2 linked regions of the Drosophila melanogaster genome follow. The protein of the gene in region 1 purifies or fractionates together with the protein of each later gene. This does not show direct contact. Each region holds a gene or a part of one and is shown on either strand. Other genes may lie near its edges.

What was found.
Region 2: the proteins of CG5568 (region 1) and Synd purify together in Drosophila melanogaster (affinity purification with mass spectrometry, with the first as the bait; one large-scale study listed by BioGRID). This does not show direct contact.

Annotation. Positions count from the first base shown.
Region 1 is NT_037436.4:5,869,587-5,874,039, reverse strand, and holds CG5568 (uncharacterized protein), read right to left. Parts: upstream 2,540-4,453; 5' UTR 2,443-2,539; coding exon 2,275-2,442; intron 2,219-2,274; coding exon 1,707-2,218; intron 1,656-1,706; coding exon 698-1,655; 3' UTR 522-697; downstream 1-521. Other genes in the region: CG18586 (uncharacterized protein), read right to left, coding at 1-182, 240-407.
Region 2 is NT_033777.3:20,831,134-20,838,807, reverse strand, and holds the start of Synd (syndapin), read right to left. Parts: upstream 6,010-7,674; 5' UTR 5,935-6,009; intron 4,412-5,934; exon of another isoform or gene 4,343-4,411; intron 3,584-4,342; 5' UTR 3,581-3,583; coding exon 3,477-3,580; intron 2,934-3,476; coding exon 2,824-2,933; intron 1,224-2,823; coding exon 886-1,223; intron 774-885; coding exon 547-773; intron 484-546; coding exon 363-483; intron 296-362; coding exon 185-295; intron 133-184; coding exon 1-132. Other genes in the region: CG31223 (uncharacterized protein), read right to left, coding at 6,377-7,532, 7,592-7,620.

The DNA.
Region 1 (4,453 bases):
TGTAAGGGGGTTCCGTTGAAGAAGCATGCATATGCCACAGCTGATTGGTGAGTCGTGTGTCTGCCCATGACCCCCACTATATCAGTTTGCCCCAAGCCCATATTCCTCATATAACTAGCCACTCGCATCGCATTCATATGAAGATCTTCGCGGGTGAGTACGATGTCCTCCGTGATCGAGATCTGGTGGTTCAATGCAAATCTATACATTTCTCTGATTTCGAGAGAAAAGAAACTCACCTGGGCAATGAGTTTCGGATTGTTTACCATATCCCCAAAGATTATCTCTCCGATTGATAAGTTTGGCGAAAATAAACTTGGTGCTTCACGACCACTCCAGATCTTGAGTTTATCATCATAAGTGCACATCGCGTTCAATAGTTTTTGTTTTACTTCCATTTCAGCCATTATAAGAAAATGCTGAGTCGATTATTAGTTTTTAAGTAAATTATGCTATTATAACCCCTCGTATCAGCAATGCTATTTCACAGCAATAATGTACATAATTACGAAAGATCAGCTGTATTAACGATTTTGTAATCGATATGTGTTTCGGTATTATTTTACTCGGCGAATATGAAAAAATGCCTAAGATGGCGAACCTCTTAAAAAGCTTACGATAAATACAACAAATACAAATACAAATACAATAAAAATACAAATACAACATAAACATTACAATAATTAAATATGCAAAACTAATTCTTCTCCATAATTCGTAAAAACTCAGCTTTTGTGGCCGCTCTGTTTGCTTTTCTATTGCCACTCTGAATAATGTGATCCACAATCAAAGCTCCTCCATTCAACTGCTTAAATTTGGCAGGTATACGTTTCCTCACATACTCCACAACATCCTGGGCCTCTAGTTGGGTTCCTTGTTTCTTGACCACTGAAGCGGCTGCCTTATCTCCATAAACGGGATCCCAAATGCCAAAGACACAAGCTTCCACAACATTTGGCATTTCAGCGATGACACTTTCAATCTCGCTGGGGTAATACATGATGGTCTGATACTTGAGCATATCCTTCAAGCGATCGATAATGAACAAATATCCATCCTCGTCCATGTAGCCCAGGTCCCCGGTGTGAAACCAGTTCTCCGAGTCCTGCATCTTCTTCGTTTCTTCCGGATTCTTGTAGTAACCAGGCCATTTCTGACCATTATTGAAGCATATCTCGCCCACGACATTGGGTCCTTGTGCTTCACCCAGCTCGTTGACTATTTTGATTTGAATGCCTCTAACCGGACGACCCACTGAATTGGGTTTCTCATCGAAGTTGAAGTTTAGGCATCCGGGGCTGTTCAACTCGGTTAGTGTATAACTGAAATTTACACATTCGTTGCTTAGACGGCTGCGAATTTTGTTCTGGACTTCCAGTGAGCAGTTTGATCCGCCGTAAAAGAAATACTTCACGGATGATAGGTCCGCCGCATAGAATTCCGGGCAATTGGACAGCATCGCCAATTGCGAGGAACTTACGAACACCATCGATATTCGATACTTCTCAATTAGGCCACACAAATTGGCAGGATCAAAGTCACAATCTTCAATTATACTAGTCAAGCTAAACACGGCTGCATTGATGGTCATCGTGATGCCTGATGCCCAATCCAAAGTGTTTGGGTTATACTGAATAATCGAGCTATCCACGGGTCTGAAAATAATAAATTAGATGGGTGTATAAAATTAAGGTGGTAATATTTACAGAAAACTCCCAATAATCTGGTGACTATTGCTAATGGTGACTGCCTTTGGAAGGCCGGATGTTCCCGAAGAGCTAAGAATGGCCAGTAGTTGATCAGTACCGTCTTTCAGTCGCACTGGTCGAAAGTTCATCTCCACGGGAGTGGTTAAAATATCCTGAATTCTCAATATTCCTGCCGGGTGATTACGCATGGTTACTATTTGTACCTGAAGGCCTTTGGTGGCTGCTTGAACTTTCTCAAACTCATCTCCATCACAGAAGATTAAGCGTGGCTTGGTTATTCCGAACAGTCTCTCGATGGCAGATTGTTCGTATTCGGTGTGTAGGGCATGATAAGGAGTTCCATTAAAGAAACAGGCATAGGCCAGAGCAGTCAAGTGAGTGGTCAACCTGCCAATGACTCCCACAAAGTCACCTTGCTCCAGACCCAGTTTACGCATATAACTTGCCACCTTCATCGCGTTTGTCTGGATGTCTTTCCAGGTCAGCTCAGTGTTTTCTGTAACTGAAATCTAAAGGTTTTGTTTCGATGAATATAAATATTGTTTCTTGTAAATTTATTAAGTACCTGGGCAGTGAGCATAGCATTGCGCTCCATTTGTTGAAAGATAATTTCTCCAATGGACAAATCTGGTGAGAATAAACTGCGTTTTTCGCCACCACTCCAGATCTTTAAGTTTTCATCAAAGGTGTTTCTTGTCTTAAAGGGCGATTTTCCCGCTTGCAATTCACCCATTTTGTATAATACGTTAAGAATTAAAATGAAGGCTTATAATTTATATATCTCTCTAACTTCTGTGATAGTAATACCATAAAAACGAAAGTGATAGACGCAAGAACTCGAATTTAAAGCTTCAAGTTAGGTCTCACCATTATCAACTGACTTATTATATCGATATTTCTTTGAGCTAAGAAAGAGATACTAAAAGTTTTGTTCATAAGTGAATTTATTTCATCTACCAATCAATTATTCCGTCACTGTTGCCATACTAATCATATTTACTATTTATGTTTACTTAAGCAATGATTAATTGCCAAGACTGTTTTCATGACCGCTGATAATCCGATTTTGAGATTGCATCCCATAGTAAAATACTCAAAAAGATGTCGAAAAGTGTTTCAGCAAATGGTCAGCTGGGCTGGACTGGAATCTCCACCACCACCAACAATAAGATTATGATAATGGGCAGCCGTCAAAGAGAGGATTATGGGTTTTGGAAAACAAGTGGATTAAGGGGTTGACAATTGGGGGAATGTGCTGTCAGGAATTTGGCTTTTGCGTTTTGCATTTGTTTTTACGATTATGACCGACATGGATGGATCGGAATCGAAATCGTTCAGTTCTGCTCTGTCCCATTATGATGCGCTATTTTGAGTGACCCTGTCCTCCGCAAACATAGCGAAACTAATAAGTAAAATGTGTTTTTCAAACATTGATTTCGGCCAGTGCGTGGTGGGTGGTGTTTTAGGAAACACACACACACACACCCCCTTTTCGAGACGACAACATTTGTCATAAGGCCAAGACAGCCTCAACAGTTGTTGGCGATTATCATTTTGACAGTTGCTTCTCGCTTCGCTTTTGTTTCAGTTCCCTTGGCTGCGTTTTGGGCCTTGATTTATGCATTTTTAAGCGGTTCACTTATTGTTTCTGCGCACAAATATGGCCAAGTATCTCGGTATCTGCGAGATACAATCCCCTAGTCAGCCCTTGCCGCGTAATTTGTTGATTTATTGCAAGGCTGCCACTGCAGGCATCTTCATTAAGCAGCACTAGCTTCCGTTTTTTATCCGGCCACGCCCGTCGTCTTGCAGCGCCCACGATTCGCTTTCATTATCATTATCCTGCCGGCATTGTCCTTAGCCTCGTTTGTCATGCTCGGTGCGTCTGCTTAAGTTTTCGCACGCTCCAACGCCTCGGCTTCCTTGGCGCAGCCTTCAAGATGTGGAAATTGAATTGAAAACGTGCTGAAGCGTTAAATGCTCTTGTGTCAACTGCTTCCAATCCACCCAAACCTCCTCGCCCCCAAATGTCCTTCTGTCCATCACATTTCGTCCTGTGTGTGTGGCGACATATGAGAATTTGTAACCTCAGCACAAGCTGGTCCGAAGTTGCGGCTGCGTCGGCCGTTCTCCGCTCGCCCCCCAAAAAGTTCCCGGCCAAGTGGCAAGTGGCAAGCAAGCGGGCCATAATTAATTCCAAATTGCATCCGCAAAGGATTGCCAAGTTTCGCTGGCCAAAACTTATCGAAGGTACGATGCAGAGTGTGTTGCTTAAGGGATTACCGAAAATCTGCTTTTCAATATTGCTCATCTCTTTAAGAGCTAAGTAACTGTTCAGGAGCAAGAAAATTCTTACCCAATGTAATTTATTTGTAATTTTTTTTATATTTATAGCCTAAAAGTATGCTATTGCGTTTTATAAAGTTCCATATTTGGCCGGTAATGATGATGGCGCTATTCTACTTTGTACTAAAATTATATCGGCGACATCTAGCGAACATTGTGTGAAGTCGCAGCAGCTACGAAACGCCATCTGCTGGTCGAGCTGAGTTTCATAGCTATTAAACTATGTCAGTCAGAAACGTGTACAACAAATATATGCAAGGAAGTCTGTAGTCAAGCTGTCTAAAGTGTCTGTCTAGACAGCTGGTGGTTGCGGTTCAATCCCAACTTTGGTCAGCACATTTAGTTTGTTTTTGTTTTAAATTAAAATATTGTTTTTTTTATATACTTCATTCATATAA
Region 2 (7,674 bases), on another chromosome or scaffold:
CGATGTTTTGGCTTCCGATGTGGTGACTGAGGATTGCGTGGTCGCTATTTCGCTCTTCACACTCGCTCTGCTGCTGACACTGCTCAAGGTGCTGGTGTTCTTCTTCAGGCTGTTTGTCTGGGGGTATTCCTGCTAAAGAGCTGGCTTAGTCTGATATTAACTACTGGGTAGTCAACTGGCTTACGTGCACATCCTCGGCCACAGGTCGCTGGTTGATGAGCGTGATGGGTGCTGCCGGCAGTGCCTCTTTTGATTTGTTGCCCTTGGCAATGTCACGGAACTCCTCCGTATATTCCTGTCAACAAATAGGAAGTTCTTCCATTAGCGGCCACACTGGGCTTCAGTAAAAACAGAAAACTCACCACAAATGATGGCCAATTCATGGCCATGTTAATGCCATGATTGTTCGACCACCATTTTAGGTCTTTCTGCTGGTCTGCATTGTTGATCGTGTGGGAGAACTCCTCGTAGATTTGGGGCAGGCTGTAAGTCATGTAAAAGTTATTTAAATGGATCAGTTAAACTCAAATCAAATTCAATTCGCACCTTTGCACTTTTGTGAGGTCCAGGCACGAGTGCACGTTGAACAGGATTTCTTTGAAGAACTGCAAACGCGTCTTCTCAAAGGTTTGGCACTTTTCAAACACGGATGTCATGTCCTCGATGTACACCGAATTGTATTTGGTGATTTCGGCAATCGCCTGCTCGTACTTTTCCCGGCACTTTTGCACTTGATCTTTGGTCTTTTGCACTCGATCGTGCATTTTCTTCACCTAATTAGGAAATGAGAAGTGGTGTGAGCATAAAATTAATAAATAAATTAAATTAATAGTTATACATACATATGTATAACTAAACTATTGCTTTTACAAAAAAGATCCTTACCTGATCCGGCGACAACGAGCTATCGGCATTGGCATTGCGTTCCTGATTGGTAGCACTGCGCTCCGTCTTGCAGGCCGAATGGTAGTCCGCTTTGGCCTTCTCGACCTTTGCCAGCAGCTTGGCCCAGGGTTTCTGGGCCTTCTTGAACAGATCCTCCAGGTCCTTGCGCTCCTTGATCTGCATAAGCGTGTGGTGGTAGTTCTCCTTCTGCCACGTCTTTATCTGGCTGTTCACATCGTTGCAGAGATTGTCCTTGATCTTCATGTGAACGTCGGAGATGCGTTCCGATTCCGTCAGAACGCCCTTCCAGGCTGCCTCCGTGGTTCCGTATTCCGGGCCTGAAACAAATCAGACATTCGTTATATATCTCTTTTAGCGTTTCTCAATTAACAACAGATTACAAGCGTGTCACCCTGTCGAGCTGTTTGCGGCTGACGTCATCGTGAGCCCCGCGGGTACTTGGTTTATCTAATCAGCCGCAGCCGCAAGATATATACAAACATACATATGTAGCCATATCTATAGGTATAGCAAATATAAAATGCCCGAAGAATAAGCGCTTGTATGGGTGCTGCGATGGAGGAACATCGTACATTTTTGGCATTTTTTATTGGGACCCCAAACACACGGCAATCAAGTTGATATGATGCTCGTCTTATAATTGGCAGTGCACGGAACTCGTTTGCCTAACGACTCACTATTCCCAATTCCCCCTGTGAAAAGGCACACAAACAGATATATAGAAATTGAGACGCTTAGCACACAAATAACTCGTTCTATTTTCTCGTCGCATTGATTTTTGAAACCATTTCAAGCGACGCTCTGGTGCCGGTTTGCTTTGGTGCCGAGTTATGGGCCACTGTCCAGCGCTTCTGCCTCCCAGTCTCCGTATCTGTAACTGTGAACGTATCTGTATCTGTATTTGTATCTGCACACGTATTCGTATCTGTATCTTTGGCTAGACGCGGCTAGGCAAATTCCTCGCAAATAAGAAAACTCGAAGAGCACTCGGAGGCGGAGGAAGTGATGGTAGTCGCTTTTGCAATTGCCCATCGCTGGTTACTGTGAAAGTGGACACTGAGAATTCCGTGCAGAGGCGGTCACAGAAAATAGCAGCAATAGAAGCAAACAGTACCAATGGGGCAAAGCGGTTTCCAACTTCGCAAGCGCTGTACTCGATTTCATTTTACGAAGAAGCGCGCACACTGTGCCGGACATCCGCTAAAAATGGTCAAAGACCCAATTCCGAAAACAATGAGTGAGTCGATGATTACCGCCGTTTTCGAAAATAGTATTTGGTAGTGTGTACTTATAGAAGTACATATATGAGGCAATAGCAAGGTAATAAAACCTTAAGAACCCATATAACTTATATATCAAAAAATAAAAATTGTATATTACTATAAAGCAGAAACCCACAGATATTTGATTCTTTATTTATTTATTATTTTCTCTTGTACAAACTTAAGATTTCCGCTGCCGAATTTTAATTGTTTAGAATGAAGAGTGTGAAGAGTGTATGCATATGTTTATGTTAGTTAATCCAAACACTTTGCCAGCCCCGCTCATTAACATACTTAAATAAATTGGTGTGGCGATTTTGAACCACAGTGCGCAGCTTTTGCAGAATACAACCGACAAAAACGAGGTAACGAAAAACGTAAAAAAAACCATTAATAGCTTAAGCCACTTATCGCACAACGGCAACAACAATGCTCAGAATGATGTACAGAATGTAGAAAATAAGAACAGCCAGTGGGCCAAATAAGTGGTGGGAATTCAACGTGAGCGGGTCACTTGATGCTCCACTGGGCTTTTAGCTCGTGAATGAATGTGTTGGCCAACAGAAGGCTTCCACGACTGATGATGTCTCATCCCACAGGCCACAGCCACCCACATCCCCATATCTCACCAGATCCCCACCTGCCGCTCACTTACCTTTCTCAATGAGTTCACCCCATTTCTTTGACCAGGTGCGCAGGCTTTTCGCATATCCCTTCTCGATGTCGGCACGCTCCTGAATCAGTTGCTGTAGGTCATTGCAGAGTCTGCGGGCGAAATGAGACAAGAATCATAATAATGCAAACCGGTTTGAATTTTTGTCTTGGGTTTGGGCTTCGGGTGTCGATATATTCGGCTGGCAATGACCCAGCGTCGCCCAGTGCAAATACACAGAGAGAACCCATTACCTATTTGCTTAAAAAGATTGATTGTATCACTAGAAATCAAAGCTCATTAAAAAAGTTTATGAAATGTCCACATAAGTAGAACAAATTGAGTTAATACTAAGACCAATGCTTATACCAAGGTCTTTATATTTTCTTATTTTTTTCCCTTAAATAAATACGAATTGCTGTAAGTTTGCATTCAAAACAATGTGATGACACTGCATGACCTACTAAACACACAGAAAAGATACAGTTACCAATACCAATTGGTATGACAGAAACGTTGAAAAACGATTGGGTTGCAGCTACGAATATGTTTTTGAATATTAAGCCAATTGTATTATGTCGAGGAATTCGACTGACATAATGGCAAAATAAAGTATCTCTCTGTGCACCAAGACTCCCTGGGGATTATCCACTCACTTGTAACCATCCTCGATCCGCTTGGTGGTGCGTTTGTAGTTGCCGGGCTCCCAGAAGGAATCGCTTCCAGCCTGGAGGAGCTGATCATCGCTGTGGTGGGACATTTCCTGTGGATTCCAATCAATATTAATCAATCACATACGACGGGCTTAAGCGCAATAATCGTAAAATATGAGTTTTGTTACGTAAATAGACACTGCAGACATAAACAACTTCCACACAGCAGCAACAACAAAAAGCTCTTTGTTTATACGCAAACTTGTATTTTTGTAGTGTTTGGCTAAGACCAACAAATCGTTTGTTAAACGACATACTATAGTAAACCCAAACGAGACGGGCTCTGAGTAAATTTATTGTTTGCCTAATTTGTTCAATTAAGAAATTCCTTCACATTGATGCAACAGGCAGAACTTTAATTACTGGAGCCTTATCAACGACCATATTTCTTGACGGTTTCGCCGAGTGTCCCCATTGATAAAGACTGGACTTATCACCCCTGACTCATTGTGCAACTTTGCATGGTGTTCTGCCAATGGGTTTACTATTTTCAAATTGGAATATTAAGGTAATGTCTTATTTTAATTGAAAAAATTTTCTTCGAAACTAAAAAATAAACATATTTTTAACCATATTAAGATAAATAAATATTTGTAATTTATTTTGAATTCGATTATTTTTAGTATCGCTTTCAAATATTATTTCTGTTTTTTGAGATAAATAGATAATGTTGACAGATTTTCTTTCTGTGTAGCATACATTTTCCACCGTAATAGTTTCATCTTATCAAGGGAATTCTCATGCACCCATATTTTGTAACCCAGATAAATGAGATCCCAAAAATTGAATTTGAAATTTAATATACATACACGCTTCAGGTGTTCTGCATTTCTGATTGTACGCTGAACAGTTGATACGCTTGTTTTTACTCCGGACAAATTCGAAAATTAGAATTCGAAGCAATTCTAACAATTTGGCGTTCTGCTTGCTTTGATAGTGCTTTTTTCTTTCCTTTGAAGTTATTCCCATATGCCTCTGGAACCTTCAAATATCTATCAACAGTTCTGCAGCTGCGATTTATCTGTTTGGCAATGTTCCGATTAGGCAATCCTTGCGAGTGTAGGAAGTCTACTTTTTGACGTTCCAATAAGCAGCAGCTTTACCCATTTTTTCTTCAAATGTAGCTCGAAAACACTTTATTCGTTTATTTGTTATATTTTTTCAATACAACAGTTTATACTTGTCCACGCAATACGAAGAAATTTAAGCTGCATCTAATTCAATGACCAACAGAAAACTTTGATAAGAAAAGCATTTTGGACAATTAAAAAAAGCATGCAAATAAATGATCGATTTTGTTAAAAAAAAAACGATTGTGCGTCTAACCTAAGAGCAGCAGTGTACATCGTATTGGAGACCCTTACGTGTGACAACATTTAACATTTCAATTCTCTCTGTGTAGCGAGCTAAATTTTTTCATACTCGGCGATGGGAAATCTTGGTATCTTATCAGTGGAGTGGAGTTTCCCTGCATCAGCTGTTTGTAAACAATGCAGTCAGTTTGAGTTCCACTCGCACACACCCGTATGGTGAATAACGGTTATGTTATCAGCAGCATTGACCGGTTATATACATGCTTTCTTATTTATATATGTATAATAACCTCTGCTGAAGTTTAATCACCTACACACATGTGTAGATTGGTGATGTTGGGTCTGCTGAATGTGGAATCTTGTATCTTGGGTTGACTTGATTTGGGCGTCATCGACTCACGATGCGCTTACGGATTTTCCCCATCATCGGCTATAAATATAAATATAGGATCGCGGCTCAGTGCGATTTTCGTGTTTTGCGTGTGGAAATGGCCAGCAGAAAGTTTACAAACAGGTTGACGCATACTTCGCATATTTGTGGAGATAGATAAGCACCTTTACGGCGCTCTCACAAGCACTCGCGCCACACACACACACACACATACGTATATGCACATCTAAACCAACACGTCGCACACTTAGGCGATAAGAAATCCCCCTCCGCCAAACAACCAAGAAACTCGTTTATCTTTGAGATTGAACTTGTCTCGACCGTTTCTACTGTAAATATTTGCATCGTTTTCCAGCACACCTTACATAAGGTTTTCTTGGGGCGCTGCTATTAAAATGCTTTCGCTGTGCACTAATTTTTAGCAGGCGAAGCGTACGAAGAGCACTTGCTGGCCGATTGGATTTTGTTGTTGCCAGACGCACACCGACACGCACACACGCTCGGCTAGGTCACACAAACACACGGGAAGCGAAATTCCGCTACACCCAAACGCGTTTACATGAAATGTTCTGTTCTAAATTGCGATCGCTTTTGTTGTTGCTGCTGCTGCAGCTGCACTGCATTTAAATGGTTGTTAAATAATCCTTGGCTTTGGGTCTCTGGCACTTGTTCATACCGAAGCAGGGCGACAACCTACCAATAACAAAATAGCGTAAAAAAGCACTACAACTCGAGTGTGTGTCTGGAATCGCCAACTAAAAAAACTATGTGAGGTGTGACCGTTTCGCGACCATTCAAATACACCTCGCGGCTAGCTGAAAATACCGCTCCATACGAATACAAAAATACCGAAATGTATTTAGGATATACATTTATTTTTAAGACATCTGTACATATTTTTAAGTACTAGTTACAGTACTAGCACAAAGTCAAGTTTTACTTAAACCAATTTGTTCTTTAAGTCCTTAAAATACTGAAGTTTCCAATCAAAATGTGTACACTAATTATACATAGTTGTATTTAAATTCCAAGTAAAATAAAACAATAAAATAACAATCAATCTATAGTCAATACCGCTCCAAATTTTGTGGACAATATAAAAACAGAATTATTTTGAAATGTTTATTTTAGAGGATTGCTTAAAGGACTTCTTCCCGCGCCACATACGACAGCATAAACTCGATTTTGCGAACCAGTTGCGCCAGTTTGGTGCGATCCAATTGCACACTTCCGCTGGCCAAAGCGAACAGCTTCTGGAACTCGGCTTCCTGGGTATTCTTACGGCGACTGATTGCCTTCGTCTGCTGCAGCAGATAGAGAACATCACTAAGGGCGGCCAACTTGTGCTCCTTCGTAGCCATCAACTGGCGGGCATCCTGCTGCAGCTGCTCCCTGTTGTCGACGAGGAAATTGGCACCTCCTGCAGCACTTCCAACTGCAGCCGCGCCGGCAGGACCATTACCCGTGGTGATGGCTTCCATCTCTACGGAGACAATAGCGTCCTCAGCATCCTCGAAGTTGGTGCCGTACTTTAAGGTGGCGCTGAGATTGACAAGGTGGGCCACTGCCTCGCTGGCATTGGTCCTCTGTTCGCCGCCAAAGAAACGAGCCACACAGGCGTAGGCGCTTAGTATGTTCCACAAATTGTAGTGCAGGCACGGAGACGGAGTTTTCTTGCATATATCGGAGAATTTGGCAATGCTCCCGAAAATTTCGGGAACACGGCTCTCTTTCTTGGCAGCTTCTTCGGGTGTAGGTATAATCACAATCTTAGAGTTCTTCGGCTTGATCCACCAGGGCTTGTAGTCTGGCATAAGCTTCATGATATCTCCATTGGTGATCAATTTCTGGAACTCATCTTGCTCCTCTGTAGTTAACCGGCTCCAAACTTCATCCGCATCGTTGATATCAACGCCTTTCAGTCGAGTTGCAATGTCTTCCTCCAGGTCTTCATCCAGTATGTCCCCCTCGGTGACGTTTTCTTCCGCCTCATCTTCTTCTGACTCTCCTTCCTCGCCTCCATCCGAGTCCAAACTATTTTCCAGGCCATCTGTATCAAATTCCTGGGGATTGAAACCACTGTCCGTTTCTCTCATCCTCTTCAGTATGTCGTATATTTTCCGCATGTCCTCCTGGCTTTCCTGCGTTACCGTGTTTTGGGTCAGCTCGTCCTGAATGCAGGACTTGTAGAAAGCCTCGGAACATTTAAGGTGCTCCTTGGACTTGTAGCATCCCACGCTGCAATACAAAGCATTGCACTTGGGACAGGTGTACTTGAAGGACACCTCGCGACAGCTGCAGGAGATTAATATATATTGAACCGCTATAATTAATATTACTTGTTAACTACTTACAAGTGACACTTTTCATCGGCTTCCGACATGGTCAAACAAAATGGAATAAACAAAATAGTGCGGTCGCCAACAGCTGATCGCTG